Linked DNA regions of Saccharomyces cerevisiae S288C. Changing the gene in region 1 together with any one later gene gives a genetic interaction. Each region holds a gene or a part of one and is shown on either strand. Other genes may lie near its edges.

Region 1 (5,859 bases):
CACCTCTTCTTTCATTGTCCTAAAAACCACCCAAAAAAAAAAAAAAGACATCAAATCTCTTTTTTTTTTTTTTGTAGTTCTGTTGCCGTATGCTATCTACTCCTAAGGCTTTTTTCTACTACGGCAATCTATTCACAATGTGCAATTAGGCTAAATGCTAAAAAAAGAAAAAAAAATCCGGAGCCCCTCGATGACTCCTGTTTCCGTTTTATACTGTCCAGCGCAGACCGCACTTCCTACGTATACTTCTTACGGGGAAGGGAGCATACACGAAAACAAAAGGACCCGTAATGACTCGGAAACTCCATAGATCGGTAAATACCGGCTCGTTACCCGTCCTCCATCGGAAAATCTCTCACCGATTTGTTCCGGTATCGGATAATTTATGAATCACCCGGCTTGATGGAACCGTTTTTGTTCCGTGAAATGCCCGGCCTGCATTGTTTTCTTCAGACGAGAAGCCGTTCCAACGTTTCTTTTTCTCGTCACCGGGAAGTTGCGGGCACCTTAGGGCAAGGAAAAAGAAACTTCTCTGCCCTCATCGAGGATACAGTTGATCATACTCAATATTATATAACGCTTAACACTGTCAAGGTTATACACTTTTTACTAACTTTTTATTGCTAATATTGTCGTTCTATATAAAATTATGGATTTTTCCAGGCTTACAAAGTTAGCATTTATACGGAGATAAATTTATTTTTTTGAGAATCCAAGCTAGATTCAGAAAGTCGAATCAGCAATGTCACGAAGTAACAGTATATACACAGAAGATATTGAGATGTATCCTACTCACAATGAGCAGCATCTGACGAGAGAATACACAAAACCAGATGGTCAAACGAAAAGTGAAAAACTAAATTTCGAAGGCGCTTATATCAACAGTCACGGGACTCTATCCAAGACTACCACAAGGGAAATAGAAGGCGATTTAGACTCTGAGACTTCTTCTCACTCCAGTGATGATAAAGTTGATCCAACCCAACAGATAACTGCAGAGACAAAAGCGCCATATACTTTACTAAGTTACGGTCAGAAGTGGGGAATGGTTGCAATTCTAACAATGTGTGGCTTTTGGTCTTCATTGGGATCACCGATCTATTATCCCGCTTTGAGGCAGTTGGAAAAGCAATTTAATGTGGATGAAAATATGGTTAACGTTACTGTGGTTGTGTATCTGTTGTTTCAAGGTATATCTCCCACAGTTAGCGGTGGTCTGGCGGATTGCTTTGGACGGAGACCTATAATTTTAGCAGGTATGCTGATATACGTTATTGCATCCATCGGGCTAGCATGTGCTCCATCATACGGTGTTATTATCTTCTTGAGGTGTATTCAGAGTATTGGTATTTCCCCCACAATTGCAATCAGTTCTGGTGTTGTCGGGGACTTCACTTTGAAGCATGAAAGAGGTACATTTGTTGGCGCCACCTCAGGGTTTGTTTTACTGGGTCAATGTTTTGGTAGTCTTATTGGTGCCGTCCTGACTGCAAGGTGGGATTGGAGAGCTATCTTTTGGTTTTTGACCATTGGTTGTGGAAGTTGTTTTCTAATTGCCTTTCTTATTTTGCCAGAAACAAAGCGAACCATTGCAGGTAACCTTTCCATTAAGCCTAAAAGATTCATCAACAGAGCGCCGATTTTCCTACTGGGCCCAGTTAGAAGGAGATTCAAGTACGATAATCCTGATTATGAGACATTAGATCCCACCATTCCGAAACTAGATTTGTCATCCGCCGGGAAGATCCTTGTATTGCCAGAAATTATTCTGTCTTTATTTCCATCAGGGCTCTTATTTGCTATGTGGACGTTAATGCTTTCCTCTATTTCATCCGGTTTATCAGTGGCGCCATACAACTATCATTTGGTCATTATTGGTGTGTGTTATCTACCCGGTGGTATTGGCGGTTTAATGGGTTCCTTCTTCACAGGTAGAATTATTGACATGTATTTCAAGAGAAAGATCAAGAAATTCGAGCAAGACAAAGCTAACGGGTTGATTCCACAAGACGCAGAGATTAATATGTTCAAAGTCCGTTTAGTTTGTCTTCTGCCCCAAAATTTCTTGGCCGTCGTAGCCTATCTTTTATTTGGTTGGAGTATAGATAAGGGCTGGAGGATCGAATCTATTTTAATTACTTCATTTGTCTGTTCATACTGTGCTATGAGTACATTATCAACATCAACTACGTTATTGGTCGATTTGTACCCAACGAAATCATCTACAGCAAGTAGTTGTTTCAACTTTGTTAGGTGCAGTTTGAGTACCATCTTCATGGGTTGCTTTGCCAAAATGAAAGCTGCGATGACTGTAGGTGGTACTTTTACATTTTTATGTGCGCTGGTATTTTTCTTCAACTTCTTAATGTTTATTCCGATGAAATATGGTATGAAGTGGAGGGAGGATAGATTATTGAAACAACAAAGACAGTCTTGGTTAAACACCTTGGCAGTCAAAGCCAAAAAGGGAACAAAAAGAGACCAGAACGATAATCATAATTAATTGGCATTCTTCAATTTGATAGACACTTATCCCTGCATATTTTTTTTATAAACAGCTTATAGACTTTCATGTAAATTTTTCCTAATTAATGTATTATTTACTTCGTTAATTTTCCGTTGAATTATTGACATGTTAAAGGTGCACTAAATATACCTAATACAAAAAATGGTTTTCTGTGGCAAATATATACAGTGGAAATTTCAGCATATAATCCCTGCTTTACTCTTTCCTTAAGATTTCGTCATAATTAGAACTTTTTTTGGTAAACTGCATTTTCTACCATTATTACTTTACATATGTATAGCTACAAAACTGTATTTTGAAGTGAAAAGTATGATGAATAAATGAATCGTGAATAAGTTGATCTTTTTTTATCAAGAAAATCATTGAGATGCACATTGAACACCTTCGCCACCTTGTTCTTCTTCATCGGAATCATAGTTTGCACCACCCCTGGAGGCCCGTGTTCTGTTGTATTTGGCTGGGTCAAAGTCTGCGAGTACACATTCGTCCACAGTAGCTTTCTTTGGAATGGCTGGGACAATTCTTGGAGGCAAAATTTCTTCTAACTTCTTCAAGTTTTCTTCTGATGTGAAATGGTTTTCTGGGAACTTGATAGTAAATTTGATGATTAAATTACCATAGCCACCGTATTTTGGAATTGGCATACCTTTACCTTCGATGACCTTACGCATACCTGGGGCAATAACTTCACCTGGAACAATACCGACCTTTAACCAATCACCAGAAACATGTTCCAATGCAAATTCACCACCAGCGATAGCAGTCAATAGATCAATTTCAGCCTCATATACTAAATCATCACCATCTCTCTTGAAGCTCTTGTGTGGTCTCTCAGAAACTATGAAGACAACATCACCTGGAATGACATCTGGGGCTTGGTCAGCTTCACCTTTGAAAACGATTCTTTGACCATCTTTCATACCTGGTTCGACATGGACTTCTAGGATCTTCCTTTCGTTTTCAACTTTCTTACCGTTACAAGATTTACAACGATCCTTAGGATCAATGATATCACCAGTACCGTGACAGACATCACACTCTGTTTGGAATCTTTGGATCATTGGACCCATTTGTCTTGTTACAAATTTAATACCTTGACCATTACAGCTGGTACACTTCTTGACGGCGCCTTTCTTACCACCACGACCTTCACATTCTTTACATAGGATCTGTTTGTTAAGGGCTAACTTAGCTGTCCTACCCTTATATAATTCTTCAAGTGAGGCAGAAATTTCATGCTTGATATCTTTACCTCTTTGGGGACCTCTTGGTCTTTGTGCGCCACCAGCACCAAAGAATTGGGAAAAGATATCGTCACCAAAACCGAATCCACCACCTGGGAATCCGCCAGCGCCACCAGCACCACTTAGACCATCTTCACCAAATTGGTCATATATATCTCTCTTTTCAGGATCTGATAAAATTTCATAGGCTGCTGAAGCTTCTTTGAACTTTTCTGCAGCTTCCTCACTTGGATTCTTATCTGGATGGTATTTTAAGGCGCATTTTCTATAAGCTTTCTTAATTTCGACATCAGTGGCAGTTACTGGAACACCTAGAATATCGTAAAACTTAGTTTCTTTAACCATCTTTGGACGTTTATTATTGTTGTTGGAAGATGTAGAATTCAGTTTGGATAATTTTTAATTATGTTCTATCAAAAGATATGGTAACAAATAACAAAAAAATAAATACGTAACAGTTATCAAATAAGACGCTTGTTCGGGCCTAATATATATGGGGAAAAGGACTTTTTGTGACTTTGATTTATAAAAACGAACTACACACCTTATCAAACAAGAACTACCTAACCAACATATAAACGTAGAGCAAGTTTTTACACGTTTTATAAGTACGTGGATTGATCTGCAAGTTAAATACTTTCCATACCTGCCGATGCTCTATTGCCTTTTCATTTCTTGAAAAAGAAATGAAAAAATTTTCTATTTTTTCGATGGCCTTCTATAATTTTGTACGAAATATTATAGGTCAGGTGTATATCACGTGCTCAAACCAGCGACTTCACATCTTATTTTATACCAACATACTCATTATAACAATGTATTCCATAGTTGAATACACACAACTCAAACGTGTATAAACGACTTTATTTTGCCGACTCTCTACGGTCAATGTCTTGTTACGTTTTCAAGTGCTTTTAGAAACTCTGCACTCTCTTCCCCTTAACTCGTAGACAAGGAGCGATAGTTGAATGGTAGGAACGAAAAAGAAACGGTTAGAAAGAACATATGCCTCGAATATCTACATCATTGATAAGAAAAGCTTCGAGAATACGACCTGGTTTGCATCTTTTGCTTCCAGAATGTAGGACTCTCGAGCAAGCGAAACTCGAGTACAAATGGCTCACCGAAGAGCTGCCTCCGGATAAATCAATCCGCTGGGCTTGCTTACAGAGATACAAACACGTCCCATTGCAGTACATCTTAAGATCGCAACCGTTTGGGGCCTTGGACATAGTTTGCAAGCCTGGTGTTCTTATACCAAGATGGGAAACCGAGGAATGGGTGATGGCCATAATAAGAGCTCTAAACAACTCTATGCTTTCAAGGCATACTATACCACTGCATATTTGTGATACGTTTACAGGAACAGGGTGTATTGCTCTCGCTTTGAGTCATGGTATAGCAAATTGCACGTTCACTGCCATTGACGTGTCAACAAGAGCAATTAAGTTGGTTAAAGAAAATATGCTGAAAAACAAGGTGAGTGGTGGTAAGCTCGTGCAACATAATATATTGTCCTCAAAAGCTAGCGATGAATATCCATCCCATATAGATATATTAACCGGTAACCCCCCCTACATTCGAAAGCGTGACTTCAATAGAGATGTTAAAACTTCCGTAAAGCTGTTCGAACCAAGGCTAGCGCTAGTGGGTGAGCTTGAATGCTATATAAATCTAGTAAATTATTGGCTGCCGAAGACAGACTCCTTCTTTTATGAGATTGGAGACGTTGAACAGTTTAATTACGTGGAGAGGCGCATTAAAGAAGATTCATATCTCAGCCGTATTTGGTCTATTGGTTTGAAATATGACTCGAATGGGAAAGCAAGAGTCGTATATGGGTTTAAGGCCACTCCCAAAGGGCGAATACTACACCAGATTTTTGCATCCTTTGGGACTATAAGACATTTAGCAACCGCACTCAGTGGGCACAAAGCTAATTGCAACTAAGTATATAAATGTAAATATATATATTCTCAGGTTTTTTTGTTGGAAGTTATCAAACGGAACACTCTGTGGACATTTATATTTTTTGTTTCTTAGCTCCATGTTCAGCAAGCTTTTCACTGGAGTCAGCTGCAGTCGCGT
Region 2 (6,272 bases), on another chromosome or scaffold:
GATCAGTATGTACAGTCCTCTCGTTCACCAGCTTCGCCATCATCAATATCTACGCCATCGCCACCATCTTCATCACAGAATGATTTTGATCGTGTATATAAAATGCATAGGGACAACGACCATGAAGGCAATGATAGACATGCAGAAATTTTCATTTTTCACTATGGCGTTATTGTTTTTTGGAACTTTACTGAAATTCAAGAGAAAAATATTCTTGGTGATATAACATTTGCAGATTATAAGAATTTAATGATCCGGCCGCTGGATGAACAAGATATTGAAACTGAACAATTCCATTTCGAATATGACAGAGATACCGAGAGACCGAGAATTTTCAATGATATTGTCACATTACGTTCAGGTGACCACATTATCGAGCTGACACTATCACATGCGATTGCGCAATCTTCGAAATTATCAAGGTTTGAATCCAGAATTTCGCCGATTTTAATATCAGTCACAAAACTACCTAAAAGACTAGCATTATATGGTACCCTTGGGTTAAAAAGGGAACAGCTTTTGAAAAAATCAGGGAAGCTCTTTAAATTGAGAGTGGATGTTAACCTTTCATCCACCATATTGGATACACCCGAGTTTTTTTGGTCGTTCGAACCAAGTTTGCATCCACTGTACGTGGCAATGAGGGAGTATTTAGAAATTGACCAAAGAGTACAAGTATTAAATGATCGTTGCAAAGTTTTCTTGGAATTCTTTGATATATGCGTTGACTCTGTTGCTGAAAGAAACATGGCTCGTGTTACATGGTGGTTTATTCTTGTCATTTTATTTGGAGTTATATTTTCATTAACAGAGATTTTCGTTCGTTATGTAATTATTCATCGTCATACTTCTACATAGATATTCATACACCCTTCTAGACGGCATTAAAAATAAATTAATGATATATTTAGTTATCAAGGTTTTTAGTCATATATTTCACCGTTATTACCATTCTTGGTCACGTGCAAGTAAAACCACTCGTTGATTGGCTCCCCTCAAGATTGCATTAAAAGTACAATAATATGACTAAGGGACTCGAATATGTAAATTCATCTTTCGCATCAACAAAGGAGAAAAAGACGATAGTGAAGACTAATATTTTAGCCAGATTGCAGTGTTTCAGTGATCTTAAAAGTCTTTTTCATTTCTAGCCGCATTGAATTCTTTAAAGCAAACCATTAAGGAGTACTTCCCCAGGTTTTTAACCGATAATAAGAGTAAGATAAAAGTACAAGAAGACAGGGAAATGATTGCTACACCTATAAGATTAGCAAAGAGTGCATATGAGCCGATGATAAAATTCGTCGGTACAAGGCATCCCTTAGTGAAGCATGCAACTGAGGTCGTTGTTCATCCTTGCGCTACCAACGGAATGTTACCTGGCAGCAAAGAGTGTATTCCAGTGAGTAAATTCATGGAAAATTATAAACCATTCCGTGTAGTGCCAATAAAGCATAGCGCTAATGCTGGTCTCAGCTCGTCAAAGACCTCTGTATTCGTTAACAGGCCATTGCAAAAAGATGAGCTTGCTTCCATTTTCGAGCTACCTGCTAGGTTTCGGTACAAACCTATTAACGAGCATGAATTGGAGAGCATAAATAGCGGTGGTGCATGGTGAAGGATAGATGCAGTAATATTATGATTTTTTTTTGTTATTTTATAGTTTCTTTACACATATCATTATATCTATGTAAAAACGTAGTTACTTAGGAAGAGAGAAGAGTGATGATATTATGAATTGAAAAATAAAAATAAAATGAGTATTTAATGAAGGTGGGATAAAACTCTTCTAAATTTTTTGAGTACCGTAGCCTTTAATATCCTTGGCGAAGTCCCATTTCATGTTTTCAACTTGCAAGTTTTTCTTGAAAGTTAAACCTGTGTTCTTATCAATTATGGCCAGTGAGAAGTTTCTAGAAGAACGGGCATCTCTATAATAAAGAACTCTCATTGCATTTACGATCGCCTCTTCAGCAACCTGTACAGTGGTCTTTGGAATATCAGATTCTCGATCTACAACTTTCCTTAACAGTGGGTTTGCCATGTGTGCCCCAAAACCTGTGGCCAAGGTGGGAGACGAATACGTAACACCTAGAAGATTTACGTATCTTAGGAATTGATCACCATTAGACTGTACACCAGCAACAATGATGGCATTCCAAAGTGGATTCATCTTTGATCTTCGCTGGTACATGACGGTAGCTAGATATTCAAAAATATAGCTGGGTTCGAGCGCTTCTTCAGCATCCGCTAGAGGATTGTCATACGCATTTTCAGTGACTAGATCTTTCAATAATCTCTCAATGTGTTGCATATCAGAAATATCACCTGAAATGCCCACAACGGTGTTATCACCCACGGGAATAAGCCTCTCCACGCCATTGAATCTTAGAAGAGAGCCATATGAACCTAAATTATCTGCTGCAATGATAACCCCATTATCATATTTCATTGATATGACGGAAGTACCTGTTACTATTGGTTGCTGTGTATTAACCATGGGAGAGGCGCCTGCGTTCGCAATTTGTGTATTGTAAGCACCATAAGTAGAGTCTGCGGGCCTGCCCCAACTGAAAGGATCGTGATTCATTCGTGTGGGTTTTTATGTTGTTTTCGGCGGAAGATGAAGGATTCCTGCTGCTTATCCCCTTTCTTAACTTAGCTGTACTTTACTATGTGGGTACGTATTTAAGGTGGCAAATTCTAAACCAAGAAGCTGGAACATCTTTAATAAAAAGGATTGACGGGTAACCCTAAAAGGAAAAATAATAAAGAATAAGAGTAAGTTAAACTATATATATAGAAGGACGAAAGAAAAGATACCTCGATTTTTATTTATTTAGTTTGTGTATATAACTTAAGTATTTTATATGTGAATGTAACGTACTATTGGACAAGATATTCATCTGATTTCAAAGAGGTGATGACGTCGTAAGGGAGCTCTTGATCGTGGTCATTGGCCATGACAACAGATTGTATGGCCATACCGGTGAAACTCTTAGCTAATTTATCCCTCGTGGACTCTTGGAAGGAAACGGTCATTGGGTACAATGCATCTTCATATGGAGCTTCGATAGTGAATGCTAGCGCACCTGCATCGTTGGCAGCAATTTTGCTAATCTTAATGGAGGTTCCCATTTCTTGGTCCATGTTGACAACTTCAGCGTCAGAGCATGTAGAAGACTCTGTATTTATGTCTACTGGCTCCTGAGGGAAAACTGGAATGGTGAAGATCACATCAGCGAGTTCTGTTTCCAGGACGCTCTCATACTCAATAATGACATCAAAGCCCTGTTGTGATTCGGAGGGGGAAACCCATGTAGTTAGAGTTAATGGAATTAATGAGTCATCTTCTGCGGGAGCGACTTTACGCCATCTTAGAACACCCAGGCTTTGGTCGTTGGCTGGGAAAGCCTTAGATTTATCACGCAGGGAGATAAGTTTAGTGGATAGGAACGATTGTTTATCTATGTTTGGATGGGTCTTAAACTGGAAGGATTTATCGCGAACGTCAATAGAATCAGCTAGTTTTAGGTTCGAGTGAGATAAGTCATGGTCATTAATTCTTAGTTCTAAAACACCTTTCAATTCAGAAGAGTGAATGGTACCATCTCTGGAGAATTCTGCATTGATTACCTCCTTGATAGAGATCAAAATACCATTGTTCTCTGGGACATCCTCCTCCGGAGGAGGTGGAGTGCCAGAAGAGGCTGAAGAAATTGCACTTGGCCGTGGTGCGGCACCCGCTCTTCTTCCGGCACCACCACCCAATTTCATACCGCCAGTAGCAGAATGTCCCGCACGCTGAGACGTAGCCATTGGGGAGGCCACTGGGGCCACCTCAGCAGCAGCGGCATGGGAACTTTGTAGATAAGACTGTTGTGCTGCAGGAGAAGCATGGGAGTAGTAACTGTTGATGGCGTTTGTAACGTTAGGATCTTTACTTCCCATGAACCTATTGGCGCCGTCGTAATCGCCATTTGAAGACATAAACCCGTGTTTCCTTTCATGTTCTTTTCTAGCAATTTCCTTAGCACGGCGCTTCCTCTCCTCAGTAGCTTCGATCTCTTTATTACGCTCAATAATTTCCTGGATTCTTTCTTCGTGCGACTCCATAGACAAGTATGTTTGCACTTGAGTAAAGGACAAGTTCTCTTTGTACCCGCCCATTGACACGATTTCGTCGAACGAGGACAAGATCTCAAAGGCATTGTGAAAAATCTCTTGGTCTTGGAAACTAGACAAGTAGGAGTTGATCGTCTGTGAAAACAGATTTAATGTGGCCAAATCCTTGATAATATTGGACTGGCGGTTTGTGATAAGAATAATGTAGTAGTTATCAAAGGGCCTATACACGTAGCGGACGTGCTTGTCCTCGACAAATGTGTGGTCTGACGAGATCTCGGAGACTAGGTTCTGGAAATTGGACAGCAACTCTAGGACTCGATCCTTGGACAGATCTTTGAATTGCCTGGACAAGAGAGGTTTCCCCTGACGCGTAGTGATAGAAGCAGCCAAAACCACCATTGTGTATTTCTTTTGATGGAGCTATAGGTATTCTAATATGATCTATATTCGACGCTGAGGCTAATTGCCCTTGTTCTTGAGGTGTCAACAACCAGATTTTCTAATTTTTCGCTGGCTGTTGCTGGAAAAATGTAAACGCGCAGGGCGGGTAATAATAAAAGTTGAACTATGAAGAACAATAGAAACGCCAAGGTTTACTGACAGAGACATGTTTTAATTCAAGTGATGAGGCGGAAACGTGCAAGATCCTAAATGAAGGATAAAAAGAGTTCTTAAAAAGGGAAGTAAGGAATAACAGAGTAGAAAAACCGAAAAGACAACTTAACAAATCGGCAACACTTTTATGGGGCCCCGCTCGCCTGTGTGCAAGTAGTATTCGACCTGGAACACGCATTTACCACGAGAAGACAGCAATAGTCCGTACAACATTAATTAGTTTCGACAATTGCTCGCCTTTATAAGCCATGCTAGTGCCCAATCAAACACTTTACTTGCCCTGAAGTTCCTTTTTTCGCTAGCCTGTAACTTAAATAAGCCATCTAACCTTTTTTTTCTAAAAATTTTCTTTATTACCCTGTCGGCTTATTTTCTATTCTACACATTATTTGCCACCCATTGAAATTGTAGCTTGTATTAATAGGGAAAAGCCGGAAGTATAACCGGTGGAAAGTACTATTGAAGTGAGATAAGAAGCCATCGTAATGCCCTCGTTAGCCGAATTGACCAAGTCGTTAAGCATAGCCTTTGAAAACGGCGATTATGCCGCGTGTGAGAAGCTCTTGCCCCCTATCAAGATCGAACTTATCAAGAATAACCTTTTAATACCTGACTTATCCATTCAAAATGACATCTATTTGAATGATTTGATGATTACTAAAAGGATCCTGGAAGTAGGTGCCCTTGCTAGCATCCAAACTTTCAATTTTGACAGCTTCGAGAATTACTTCAACCAATTGAAGCCTTACTACTTTAGCAACAATCATAAATTATCTGAATCTGACAAGAAATCGAAGCTGATAAGTCTGTATTTGTTGAACTTATTGTCTCAGAATAACACAACCAAGTTTCACTCGGAATTGCAGTATCTAGATAAACATATCAAGAACTTGGAAGACGATTCACTTTTGTCTTACCCTATCAAACTAGACAGATGGCTCATGGAAGGGTCGTACCAGAAAGCATGGGATCTTCTGCAATCTGGGTCGCAGAATATATCAGAATTCGACTCTTTTACCGATATCCTAAAATCAGCTATAAGAGACGAAATTGCTAAAAATACCGAGCTATCCTACGACTTTCTCCCTCTCTCCAACATAAAGGCTTTGCTCTTTTTCAACAACGAAAAAGAAACTGAAAAATTTGCACTAGAGAGAAACTGGCCTATTGTCAACTCGAAAGTTTACTTCAATAACCAATCAAAGGAGAAAGCTGATTACGAAGATGAAATGATGCATGAAGAAGACCAAAAGACAAACATTATCGAAAAAGCAATGGATTATGCCATAAGTATTGAAAATATTGTGTAATATTTGTATATATAATATGTGCACAAAATTACTACAAAATAAACAACTTTTTCTCTCCCGGAGAACAAAGTAAGTGGAAAAAATTATACTAATAACAATCTAAAAATGTTTATTAGCTAGGATTATACACATAAATATATATATATGTGTGTGTCTATATTTACATATACTAGACCGCAAAAAAAACATAAGGGCATCACTCATAAGAATAATAATATT
Region 3 (6,652 bases), on another chromosome or scaffold:
CACTTGAAGAGCCTGGTTATGAGAGCAGAACTGGCTCACTTACAGATCTTTCTGGAAGAAGAAATTCTGTTAATATAGGAGCATTGTGTGAGGATGTTCCAAATACTGCGGGCCCACATATTGCAAGGCCGGTGACAATAAACAATTTGATTCCTCCGTCTTTACCAAGACTGAACACATACCAGCTTAGACCGCAACTATCAGATACTCATTTAAACTGTCACTTCAATTCTAATCCATACACCACTGCATCACACGCACCATTTGAATCTTCCTACACTACTGCATCTACATTTACTAGCCAACCGGCAGCTTCATATTTTCCCTCAAATAGTACCCCAGCTACGAGAAAAAATAGTGCCACGACTAACCTTCCTTCAGAGGAAAGACGTCGAGTTTCCGTTTCTCTTTCAGAGCAGGTTTTTAACGAAGGCGAAAGATATAACAATGATGGCCAGTTGATCGGTAAAACAGGCAAACCTTTAAGAAATACTAAGAGAGCTGCCCAAAATCGAAGCGCACAAAAGGCGTTTAGGCAGCGTCGTGAGAAATACATCAAAAATCTCGAAGAAAAATCAAAACTATTCGATGGCTTGATGAAAGAAAACAGTGAATTGAAAAAAATGATTGAATCATTAAAGTCGAAATTAAAAGAATAAAATAATGAATAATTATTAGTACTAGTAACATCTTAAAAGTTTTCAAAGCACATGGCAAGCACTTCTTCAGGGGGATGCAACCCCCCTTCTCCAAAGAAAATTGATGCCTAAGGTGGCGAAAATATTACGAGATAGGAAACAATTTATGGTTTCTAGTTTCAGGCAGCTTGTATTAGGTAATCAACAAAGCTTAATTTTCACCATTTTTATTTTCTTTCCTTCATCTCCCTTTTTTTATGGCAGGCACATTACTAAAAAGGAAAGAGTCAAGAGTGTAAAAATATACGTAGAAAATACATAGTAAGAAACGAAATTATATCATAGCAATTTGAAAAGTTTATTTCCCTAATTTTTTCAGCTTAGCGAATGTTGTCATGGAGCTTAGATATTCTCGCTTTTTTTTTTTCGCATTCTGATGTAATGAATATTGTTGACGTAAAGTTGTGCCAATTACGTAATTTTTTTTGTTTCTAAGGAGAGTTCCGGCCAGAAATTTCCTAGGGCTGATCCGGAGAACGACAGGAAAGATGGTCCGATGTTTTTTTCCCTCGCCCAAGAAACTTATTATCTTCAAGTTCCGATTTCTCAAATATCAACCATAGCATGAAACAAATTTAGTATACTAAGTGAGAAGATCATTATATGTACGTATGTATGAAAAAGCAGTAAAAAAAGAATTCAAGATAATAAAGTTATATTTCGTATTATTTTTAGCGGCCAGTCCGGATGATACCAGCAGCGATCAACGTCTGAATCTTTTTGAATACTTCTGGATTTTTCATGTGTTCTTGTAAAGCAGCGGGATTCTGTTGGGCCTGCTGCAAAATACTTTGCATAACAGGATCTTGCATGATCGCAGCCACTTCAGGATCTTTCATGGCCCTTTGATAGGTTTCTTCTGGGGTTTCGTTACTGGTACCAGGTTGGAATCTTTGTTGGCTTGCCTTGTAGTACAGTTGATCAATTTCCCTTGCACTAGAACCATTATTCACTTCAGCATCTTTGGTTCTGGCCGCATCTAGTGTTTCCAAAGCGGAAGCATATTCTTTAACAGCAATTTGTGCGGTGGCCTTTCTGATATAAGCTCTCACGAAATTTGGATCTTTTTCAATGGCTTTGTTACAATCTGCGATAGCTTCAGGGAAAGACATTAACTTCGCTAGTGCAGCAGCTCTATTAGAATATCCTCTAGCATCTTCAGGTGCCCTTTTGATCATTTCAGTGTAAGCCTTAACAGCATTCGGCCAATCACTCTTGGTAAAATATTCCTTACCTTCAAGACGGGCTTCCTCCGCCTTTTCAGGGTTAACATACGCCTCCGCCTCAGCTTTCTTCAATTCTTTTTCAGCATTCCTTAACTTGGTCAAAATGTCAGCAGTACGATGTTCGGTCAATGATTTTTGGTAGTATTCTATAGTTTTCTTCAAGTCACCCAATTTGTGATAGGCATTACCAATACGCGCAAATGATTTGGAAATGACCTTGTAATCCGCTCTCATTTCTCTACCTTGCTCAACAGCATCATTCAAGGTAGAAATAGCTGTCTCGTATTCGCCTTTTTCGTATTCAGCAGCAGCACGGTTGTTTAAATAGGTAATATCTTTATGCAGTTCCCACGCCTTGTTGTAGTGCTCTATAGCTTCATCGAATTGACGTGCCTTGTAAAACTTGTTACCTTCGGCCTTTTCCTTGTCGGCCTCAATTTTAGAGTCATCTTCATCAACTTCCATTGGCTCGGATTCCTTACTTTCTTCTTTCTGTGGTGCTTTAGAGGAATTTTCCTTGCTCGTAGTGGAATCGCTTTGTGGTTCAGCATCTTTCTTTTGTTCAGTGCTTTTACTGGTTTCCGGTTCCTTTGGCATGGAGTTTGATTGGTTTATATCATCCATGTTTAAATCAACCCCCATCAATGTAGCCATGATGGTCATTAATCTTGGATCAGTAAACAGATCTTGGCCAATAGCTTGCGGATTTTGTTTGTACCCAATCAGTTTAGCCACTAATTGAGGGTCCTTCATCATTTCGCTAGTTTTTGGGTTCTTCTTTAAATTTTCAATTAAATTTGGGTCAGCAAACAACTGTGTCAACCCTAAATCAGGCTGTGCCTGTCTTGCCTGTTGGGTACGATGAACCTGATCCAATCCTTCTTTGGCGGCCTTGTTACTGGCATCCAACTCCAAGGCTTTTTTGTAGTTGCTTTCAGCTTCGTCGAGATCGCCAAGACCTAAGTGGGCGGCACCGAGTCTATTATAACCCTTAGACCAAGATGGATTGATTTTGACACATTCATTAGCATCATTCAATGCGTCACTAAATTTCTTTAAAGAAGTATAACAGGCGGACCTGTTAGAATATAAAACATGGTTTGGAGTTTCAGAAACTTCAATAGCTTTAGTGAAGAGCTCTATCGCTTTATCGTAATCCTTAGCGGTAAATGCAGCGTTACCTTGTTGTTTGTATTCATCGGCTGTCAATGACATCTTTCTTGCGTATAGGTTGTTTTAGTAGCTACAGTGAGGAATTTGGGAGCAGACTTTTGGGCTTAAACAAGATACCTTAATAAGATGATTGATCTATATATAATTTTTCTAGCAGATCCTATTTACTTAATCTATGTATGTGATTTTTTCTTTATTCCTTAAAGGAGGAGAAGCGAAGAGAGAGCGATGAATCTGAATTTTTTTTCTGGAATGTTCTATCATACTACACGAATCTTCACGAAGATATCAGTTCTCATAGTCAAATATTATGTATATTGAACTTGCGTTTAGTTCAATAGTTTGGTCAATTGCGGCGTTTGTCTTGAAAGTATCATCAGAAGTTGCCAGACATAGAATATTGTCCGAACAAGCAATTTTAACCACGCTGTCTTCGTTAAATTTGGCGAAATTTTTTATTTTCTTGCGGGTTTGTAGGTTCCAGCATGAAATTATGCCATCAGAGCCAGCCGTGTATAGGAACTTATGACGGGGGGAAAATTCAATAGAATTTACTGGATACGCTAAGTTTGTATCTTTTAAATTCAAACGGTGGCATCTAAATGCAAATCTTTTGCTTGAGTTGTAATCATCGCCCTGATCATCGAAAAACTCCACAGCAACTCGCCCGTCAATGCTGCTACATGCATAACCTTCTTGTTCTTTCGGTAAAAGAGCGACATCTCTTATTTGGTACTTCAGTCCTGATTCTTCAATTGTTCCGTTATCATCCTCACAGAGTGGCAGGCGAAACCATTGAACCTGACTATTGTTCATACCAACGATCAATCGAGAGGAGTTTGTATCCATAGTAAATATCTTATTCTTCACCTTTGTGTTATTAGAGTTCAAATTTTTAACAGCAATAACTCCATCACCATAATTGCGAGGGTCGATAACCTCTATCAGGCCATCCCATGACGCGGCAATGAGTTTATCGTCTCCATATTTGCATATTCGGCAAATACCCAAATTGGCTTCATTGTTCGTCAAAGCTTGGAAGCTGGGACTACCTATCAAATCAACTTTTAGAATTTCACCCTGTACAGTTCCCACGTATATTTGCAGATCGGTATTGTCGATGAAATTGCAGCACAATAACGGATGTTTATATCGTAGCGATTGTAAAAGGTCAACATTCTTTGCTTGAATGTCGAATTTGTAGACTGTTAAAGAGCCATCCCAAGACGTAATCAAAAGCAGTGACTTGGAAGGGATTATTTTGATGTCGCTTATGTAGTCTTTTGGGGCCTGCTCAATTTGTACTATCTGCATGCCGCGACTGTTGTGTTTTCGTGTTGCAGATATCAGATAGCTTTTCTTTCGCGATGTGATATTTTTTTCGTTCACTATTTTTTGTATTCTCGGACATGCAGATCTCCGTTGGTATATGTATGAGTATATAAATGGAAGATAAATTAAACGGATGATATATTATGCAAAGGGGTGTCTGCCTCGATTATTTATCGTTAACTCAATTTTAATAGTTAAGTTTATGAGGCTTGGTTGTCACCGAAAGTTGGTCGTATCTTAGCGCGTTTTCTTGTATCCAAGTTTTCCTCTTCGTCTTCCTCACTGGAGTTTTCTGGTGACAGTATTTTTCTCTTAACTGTGTTTAACGACTTTATTTTTGTATTCAATTCGTTGTTTCCTTGAATATCAATCCCCTGGGCAGTTCGTAGAGGGGTTGTTGGGGGGGTTCCGATTGAGTCTTTTTGGGCCTTCATTTGCTTTCTCAAGTCGCTCGCCTCCCTTTTTAACTGTCTTAACTTCTTAATTTGATCTTGCGTCTTGAAGAAATCTGGTATTTGGGATTCAAGAAATGTGACCCAATTATCACAATCTGAGTGGATTTGGTAGTCTATAATGCCGTGCCAAGAGGATTCGCCAATGGGTGTCTTGTTTACGAGAATGATCAGGCCGCCACGATCGTGAATTTTCTTACTTAATTTTTTTACCAGTTGTTTCACACCATCAACTTTCAAACTTGTACCCATGATGATCAAAAAATCAGGATTGCCTTTAATTATGTCAAGATTTAGGCCTTGCGTAATAATTTCACAGGATGGATGGTTTTCACCATACAGGACGATATTAGGTCTTAGAATACCCACATTAGAACCAAGAGTTCGCTTTCCTTCATTCAATCTCTTGTTGATAAGTGCTTCGCAATCCGGACACAATGGTAACTCACCTCTTCTTAGACAACGAGACCAGTACCTGCTCCAGGGAAAAGTCTGGAAGCACTTTGTACACGAAAGAGTTTTCAGGTCGCCGTGCAACTGAACGACATCCAGATTTTTCCAATGTGAACTAAATGAGGTAAGCGGTAATTTCCTATTTGATAAAGTAAGTCCTATGCTTTCTTCGAGCCCATCGATGTTTTGCGTGTAACAGCGCAGCAGTTTGTTCCTATCTTTTAGATGCGCAATGAACTTGTGCGTCTTAGTCGGCTTTGCCAATTGAACATTTGAATAGAGCCTCTCCATAAATTTAGCAAAAATGGATATTTTGAAGTCATCTCTAAATAGCGAAATATCAAACATTTCCCTGCCGGACTTGATAGACCAATACTGTGAACAATCCTTTTTCACTAGGTCGTAGAGCCCATCAGAAGAGCGAAAGTCAGGAATGCCCGCGTTGCACGAAATGCCTGCCCCAGTCAGACAAGCAATTCTCCTAGATCTGCTCAACTGCTTGGTTACGCGCCGGAGAACTTCATCGTCGGCATCAAGACCTATAATATGTGCCAGTTTCTCAGTCTGCAAAGAGGACGGTAAGTCGGAGCACATTGAGCCCGATCGACTGGCAGGTGGCGAGGGCGATACTGAAGTCATTTTTGAGAAAGATGGATCTAGTTGTATGTAAATTAATCCCTTCAGTTTTTACACCACTAACCACGTATTTGCCCTTGCTTGTGTTATATATAAGACGTACGCCAGATATAGTTCTCTGGCACGAATAACATTGCTTGCTTTTATTGACGTTTTACCCTTTGTGGTAACAGCAAACATAAACGTCGTTCGTGATGTTGAGTTACTTATTGTTACCCGCAATTGAGGGATACCCGCCACAGAAACACATGCAGTGCATTTGCCACTGTGCATAGCCGTAGGAAGAGGGAAAAACGAACAGGGAAGAAGCAGGAAGAGCAGACAGCAAGAACCCGTGCTAAGGAAGGTGATGAACTTTGGCCACTGAAGGCGCATTTTACCTCTGAAGGATCCCGTTTCCACATTTGTAAGCTAGTGTTCGTTCATATAAACACCCTGATCTTCGGCATTTCACTACTCTTCGGGCTCACGCTTCTCATCCAACACTTTGTGTATATGTCCATCTCCTCATGATGAGTCCCGCCCAAGATAAACTGCAGCACCAGCATCATAATCCTAATTCTTCCTCATCGTCATCCTCTAAGATGACGAACGTTTATCAGGTTACCACGCCAAAGTCTCCTCAGGATTTGGAAAACAACATGGATGAGCCCTTCAAAATGGACACCGCCACCAGTAATCC
Region 4 (5,585 bases), on another chromosome or scaffold:
TAGAAATGCATGTAGAACACATAGGTTTTTGCTGATCACAACGAAGTTTTCTCCTTCTGCAAAAGCCACAAGATTTTATAAGCTTGTTTCTCTTCTTACCGCTAGTAGAAGTTGGTGTTCCTGAGTTACTTCCATTGGCTCCACCGGCCGTACTATTACTATTATCGCTTGGCGGCGTAACGTTGGTGGCCTGGAAACTTCCCAACAAAGCATCGCTTCTTCTTTTCATTGTGACGCTATTCTTATTGGCACGGCTGAGGGCAATAAACTTTCCCACTTTCTCGTTGATCTTGTTGTTCCTTTGATCTAACTTTTCTCTTGTAATTCCGAATTTTTGGCGTTTTGGTAATTCCAAGGGGAAGTTGTCTATTACATACGTCTAGTGATGTGGAATACTATAAATGTCTTGGTATTGTTATCCTTTTCCCCGTATATCAGCCTCTACCCCATTAGTAATATGGCATGGAACCTTTTAACGTTTTTCTAATTTCCGCGGATTTAACTCCGTTCACTATGATTTCTGCCAGTATGATACTGGCAGAAATCTACATTCGCTATATATAAAGAGGATATACTGGTAATAACTACAGCTTCCATGTGAGCTTAAAACGATCATGCTCATCTTTCTTCATCTTGATAGAGATTGGTAATGCTGTCATACTCCCGTGATTATAAAGCAGAATGAGAAATATTGAGACAACCGTAAAAACAGCTACTGCCCAGAATTTAAACCTTCAAACTTCATCATCAGAAAGGTATACTGTGTAAATAATGCGTAAATAGTAGGAGCATGGTGTTCTCTTGTCGTTGAAAGAACATCTGCGGCGAGCACGTGCGGCTTAATTCTCAAACGTCTCGCGGAGGTAAATAGTGTAAAGGGAAGCCTCAACTTTAAGACATGAAATCACACTGAAATAACGCCTGAAAGGTCAGGAACAGTGAGTACGTAGGAGTATAAGAGCGTGGGGAAACACAAAATGGGCAAAACCGCGGATAATCATGGTCCAGTACGTTCTGAGACAGCACGTGAAGGAAGAGAAAACCAGGTTTACTCACCCGTTACAGGTGCAAGATTAGTTGCTGGCTGCATATGTTTAACACCCGACAAGAAGCAAGTTCTCATGATTACTTCTTCTGCACACAAGAAAAGATGGATTGTCCCCAAAGGTGGCGTTGAGAAAGACGAGCCTAATTACGAGACGACTGCCCAACGAGAAACTTGGGAGGAAGCTGGTTGCATAGGTAAAATTGTCGCCAATTTGGGTACAGTTGAAGACATGAGACCCCCTAAGGACTGGAACAAAGACATTAAGCAATTCGAGAACTCTCGAAAAGATTCAGAAGTAGCAAAGCACCCGCCAAGAACCGAATTTCATTTTTATGAATTAGAGATTGAAAATCTCCTTGATAAATTTCCGGAATGTCACAAAAGACATAGAAAGCTATACTCTTATACAGAAGCTAAACAAAACTTGATAGACGCCAAGAGGCCTGAATTGTTGGAGGCCCTTAATAGGTCTGCTATCATTAAAGACGACAAATAGCTAGCACATACATATATATGTATATACGTCATGGTCGTCAAGCCACCGCAAACATATTTATCTATTCCTTCGCAAATATGCTCTTTTCACTTCGATCCGCCCAGGAATCCCGACATCATGTCTTGTAGGAAATTCGTTTGTTTAGGAGCAACAATATTGAAATATTCCTGGCCCAAAAATTCTAACTCACTTTTGTAAGCTTGAGAAAAATCTAAATAATGGTTCTTTAAATTCAAGAAATAGCTCTTATCCTTAGTCTGACAGGTAATTAGCAACAATTGCAAAAAATTTAGGTCGGAATAATCTTCAAAAAAAACTATTTCATAACCATTTTTATCAATTTTCTCGTACTTGGGGTGAAATTTCTCAATAAATCTTTCCAAAAAAATGTCTTTTGATTCATGTGCAAATGATATGTTAGAGATGAATAAATAGTTGAAAACCAATCTGCTGAAGAACTCAGCCACCGTGCTATCTTCGATATCATCAACTTGGCATAACCAGTCCCATAGTAAATCGACATATTTGATCATTGAATCATGTGTACCTAACATAAAATATCTCTCAGCTTCATAAACGAAATCTCCCTCTAATAGTTTGCTACCAATGGTGTTGTGCAAGTAAGGATCTCCAAATTTGTATTCACTAAATTTGATAGACCAATTGTTCATACCAGTAATAACGTCCTTTAAATTGGGCTCGCTAGGATCCAATTCGGCTATTAATCTAACCAATCTAGCAACTGAGATGTCATCAACTTTAACTTCCGCTAAATCATAAACTTCTAAAAGATAGAAGATCAAATCCGTGCCTGAACCGCCCTGCTTCGCCTTTAAAAATGAAAGGGCCCCTTGACTAATTAGTTCTATGGCATGCTCGTATGATTTACTTCTAACATATCTATTAGCAATAGTTCTCAACGTTTGATGCGCTTCGTAATAATCTCCAGCTTTGATCTTATTTTCGAATCTTTGTAAGGTTTTAGCGAGTTTCGCTTGTACAGCATTAGATTCAGCAGGAACCATAGCTTGTTATTATTATTTATGTCCCTTTATGATGTTTACTTGGTTGTTTTACCGCACATGTTATTATTTCATTTTTTTGACTTTCCTTTCACTTTTTTTCCCATTGTTTGTTACCTTAACGAAGAGCGACAAAACGAACAAAATACTGAAAGGTGTATTTTGATGGTAAATAATTATTGACTTATTTCAACAAACGGGCTACTAACTCACTCGACGGTTGACATACTTTAGTCATGGCTGATAGACCTGCTATTCAGTTGATAGATGAAGAGAAGGAATTTCATCAAAGTGCATTACAATATTTTCAACAATGTATTGGAAATCGTGATGTTGGTCTAGATTACCATGTCATCTCAGTTTTCGGTTCTCAATCGAGTGGTAAATCGACTTTACTTAACGTCTTGTTTAACACCAACTTTGATACCATGGATGCTCAGGTGAAAAGGCAGCAGACTACTAAAGGCATTTGGTTGGCTCACACTAAACAGGTTAATACAACTATTGAAATCGATAATGATCGTCCAGATATTTTTGTGCTAGATGTTGAGGGCTCCGATGGTTCAGAAAGAGGTGAAGACCAAGATTTTGAGAGAAAAGCCGCTTTATTTGCCATTGCAGTATCTGAAGTTCTTATAGTTAATATGTGGGAGCAGCAAATTGGGCTATATCAAGGTAATAATATGGCTTTATTAAAAACAGTTTTTGAGGTCAACCTTTCCCTATTTGGCAAGAATGATAATGACCACAAGGTGCTGTTACTTTTTGTAATTAGAGATCATGTAGGTGTGACTCCACTCTCGAGTTTGAGTGATTCCGTTACGAGAGAATTGGAAAAAATATGGACAGAGTTAAGTAAACCTGCTGGTTGTGAGGGTTCTAGCCTGTATGATTATTTCGATTTAAAGTTTGTCGGGCTAGCTCATAAGTTGTTGCAAGAAGACAAATTTACCCAGGATGTCAAGAAATTAGGTGATTCGTTTGTGATGAAAGGTACGGAAAACTATTATTTCAAACCTCAATATCACCATAGGTTGCCATTAGATGGTTGGACTATGTACGCAGAAAATTGTTGGGATCAAATTGAACGTAACAAGGATTTAGATCTTCCAACTCAGCAAATTCTGGTTGCTAGATTTAAAACTGAAGAAATATCTAATGAAGCTCTAGAAGAGTTCATTTCAAAATATGATGAATCGATTGCTCCTTTAAAGGGTAACTTGGGATCTTTAACATCTCAGCTAGTGAAGCTAAAAGAAGAATGTCTGACAAAATATGATGAACAAGCATCGCGCTATGCAAGAAACGTTTATATGGAGAAACGAGAAGCTTTAAATACAAAGCTGAATTCACATATTTCAGGTACAATTAATGAGTTCTTGGAATCATTAATGGAAAAGTTATGGGACGATTTAAAATTGGAGGTGTCTTCTAGAGACAAAGCTACTACCTCTTTTGTAGAAAGTGTGGCGGCAGGTAAGAGTAAGATTGAGAAAGAATTTAACGAATCAATGGAGACCTTCAAAAAGTTAGGGCTACTAATATCAAACGAAGAGATTACCTGCAAATTTTCCGACGATATTGAAGAAAGAATCAAGCAACTACGTGATGCTGAATTGAAAGCAAAAATCGGTCGTATTAAAAAAAATCTGGTTCCCGAATTAAAGGATCATGTGATTCATTTACTATCACATCCATCCAAAAAGGTTTGGGATGATATAATGAACGATTTTGAATCTACTATCAAAGACAATATATCTGCGTATCAAGTGGAAAAAGATAAATATGATTTTAAAATTGGACTTTCAGAGAGCGAAAACGCGAAGATTTACAAAAATATTAGAATATTGGCGTGGAGAACCTTGGATACCACAGTACATGACTACCTGAAAATAGATACGATTGTTAGTATATTGAGAGACAGGTTTGAAGATGTATTCAGATATGATGCTGAAGGTTCTCCAAGATTGTGGAAAACAGAAGAAGAGATTGATGGGGCATTCCGTGTTGCAAAAGAACATGCCCTGGAAGTTTTTGAGGTTCTTTCACTTGCTGTAACCTCAGATAACGTTGAAATTATTCCTGATGTACCAATGGCTGAAGAGGAAAGCGGCGAGGACAACGAAATATATCGGGACAACGAAGGTGTGTTTCATTCCCGTCGTTTCGCACACATCTTGACTGAATTGCAAAAGGAGAATGTTTTAGATCAATTCCGCAGGCAGATTAACATTACTGTTCTGGATTCGAAAAGGTCTATCATCACTACTAGAACGCATATTCCACCTTGGATTTACGTTTTGCTAGCCGTATTAGGGTGGAACGAATTCGTGGCTGTCATAAGAAACCCCTTATTTGTAACCCTTACCTTGATCTTAGGTGCAACCTTTTTTGTTATTCATAAGTTCGGCCTCTGGGGCCCTGTTGTTAATGTTGTTCAAAGTGCAGTTGGTGAAACAAGAACTGCAATAAAGGATAAACTAAGGCAATTTGTCGTTGAAGATCATGAAGTGAAGGAATCTTTTGAAATGAAAGATTTCTCAAAAAACGAGCAAAAAGAAAAATGATATGAAAATATTTTTTGATCGAATAATTTATTTCAATTTACCGTGTTTACTTTTTTGTTATTATAGTTATTATTATAATTACTGTTCTCCTAACGTGTCTGTGTGTTTGTATATAACTATAGGGAACTATTTATATGACATTAAAAATATATGCAAATGCATATCGCAAGCTTATGAGTTGTGTGAGTGGCTTCAATAAATCTGATAGATTTACACTAAGCAAAACATTTCAGGTTGATATAGCATTGATAGATGTTTTCCATTCATGAATCTGTTTCTCTAAAGATTGTTTCTCCTCATTTGTGAATTTGCTGAATAAAAAATGCAATACAGTCTCCCAAAATTGTTCAAATGTTCTTAAGTCATTCAGATTTGTCGGTTTTGATTTCAAAACTGTTGGTAAGCTCTTCCACTCATTCTTCTTTATCTTTGAACAAGTGAAAAGTTCCGAA

Evidence for each region.
Region 2: mutations in YDJ1 (region 1) and RET2 together harm fitness more than expected from each alone (negative genetic interaction), as found in Saccharomyces cerevisiae (4 studies listed by BioGRID).
Region 3: mutations in YDJ1 (region 1) and STI1 together harm fitness more than expected from each alone (negative genetic interaction), as found in Saccharomyces cerevisiae (5 studies listed by BioGRID, with this or other methods).
Region 4: mutations in YDJ1 (region 1) and GET4 together harm fitness more than expected from each alone (negative genetic interaction), as found in Saccharomyces cerevisiae (4 studies listed by BioGRID, with this or other methods).

What each region holds. Positions count from the first base shown.
Region 1 is NC_001146.8:502,982-508,840, forward strand, and holds YDJ1 (type I HSP40 co-chaperone YDJ1), read right to left. Parts: upstream 4,117-5,859; coding exon 2,887-4,116; downstream 1-2,886. Other genes in the region: AQR1 (Aqr1p), read left to right, coding at 743-2,503; MTQ1 (S-adenosylmethionine-dependent methyltransferase), read left to right, coding at 4,777-5,721; tRNA 1-methyladenosine methyltransferase subunit GCD10, read right to left, coding at 5,795-5,859. UniProt on the Saccharomyces cerevisiae protein: Probably involved in mitochondrial protein import. Is also required for efficient translocation of pre-pro-alpha-factor. Involved in heme regulation of HAP1, as a component of the high-molecular-weight (HMC) complex.
Region 2 is NC_001138.5:247,277-253,548, forward strand, and holds RET2 (coatomer subunit delta), read right to left. Parts: upstream 4,528-6,272; coding exon 2,887-4,527; downstream 1-2,886. Other genes in the region: RMD8 (Rmd8p), read left to right, coding at 1-858; alpha-ketoglutarate dehydrogenase subunit KGD4, read left to right, coding at 1,247-1,618; PRE4 (proteasome core particle subunit beta 7), read right to left, coding at 1,790-2,590; proteasome regulatory particle lid subunit RPN12, read left to right, coding at 5,229-6,053. UniProt on the Saccharomyces cerevisiae protein: The coatomer is a cytosolic protein complex that binds to dilysine motifs and reversibly associates with Golgi non-clathrin-coated vesicles, which further mediate biosynthetic protein transport from the ER, via the Golgi up to the trans Golgi network.
Region 3 is NC_001147.6:377,540-384,191, reverse strand, and holds STI1 (Hsp90 cochaperone STI1), read right to left. Parts: upstream 3,140-6,652; coding exon 1,370-3,139; downstream 1-1,369. Other genes in the region: CIN5 (Cin5p), read left to right, coding at 1-659; BUB3 (Bub3p), read right to left, coding at 3,386-4,411; NAD-dependent histone deacetylase HST3, read right to left, coding at 4,630-5,973; AHC1 (Ahc1p), read left to right, coding at 6,480-6,652. UniProt on the Saccharomyces cerevisiae protein: May play a role in mediating the heat shock response of some HSP70 genes. It is required for optimal growth of yeast cells at both low and high temperature.
Region 4 is NC_001147.6:641,764-647,348, forward strand, and holds GET4 (protein GET4), read right to left. Parts: upstream 2,570-5,585; coding exon 1,631-2,569; downstream 1-1,630. Other genes in the region: YRR1 (Yrr1p), read right to left, coding at 1-229; polyphosphatase DDP1, read left to right, coding at 978-1,544; dynamin-like GTPase SEY1, read left to right, coding at 2,803-5,133; SWT1 (mRNA-processing endoribonuclease), read right to left, coding at 5,363-5,585. UniProt on the Saccharomyces cerevisiae protein: May play a role in insertion of tail-anchored proteins into the endoplasmic reticulum membrane.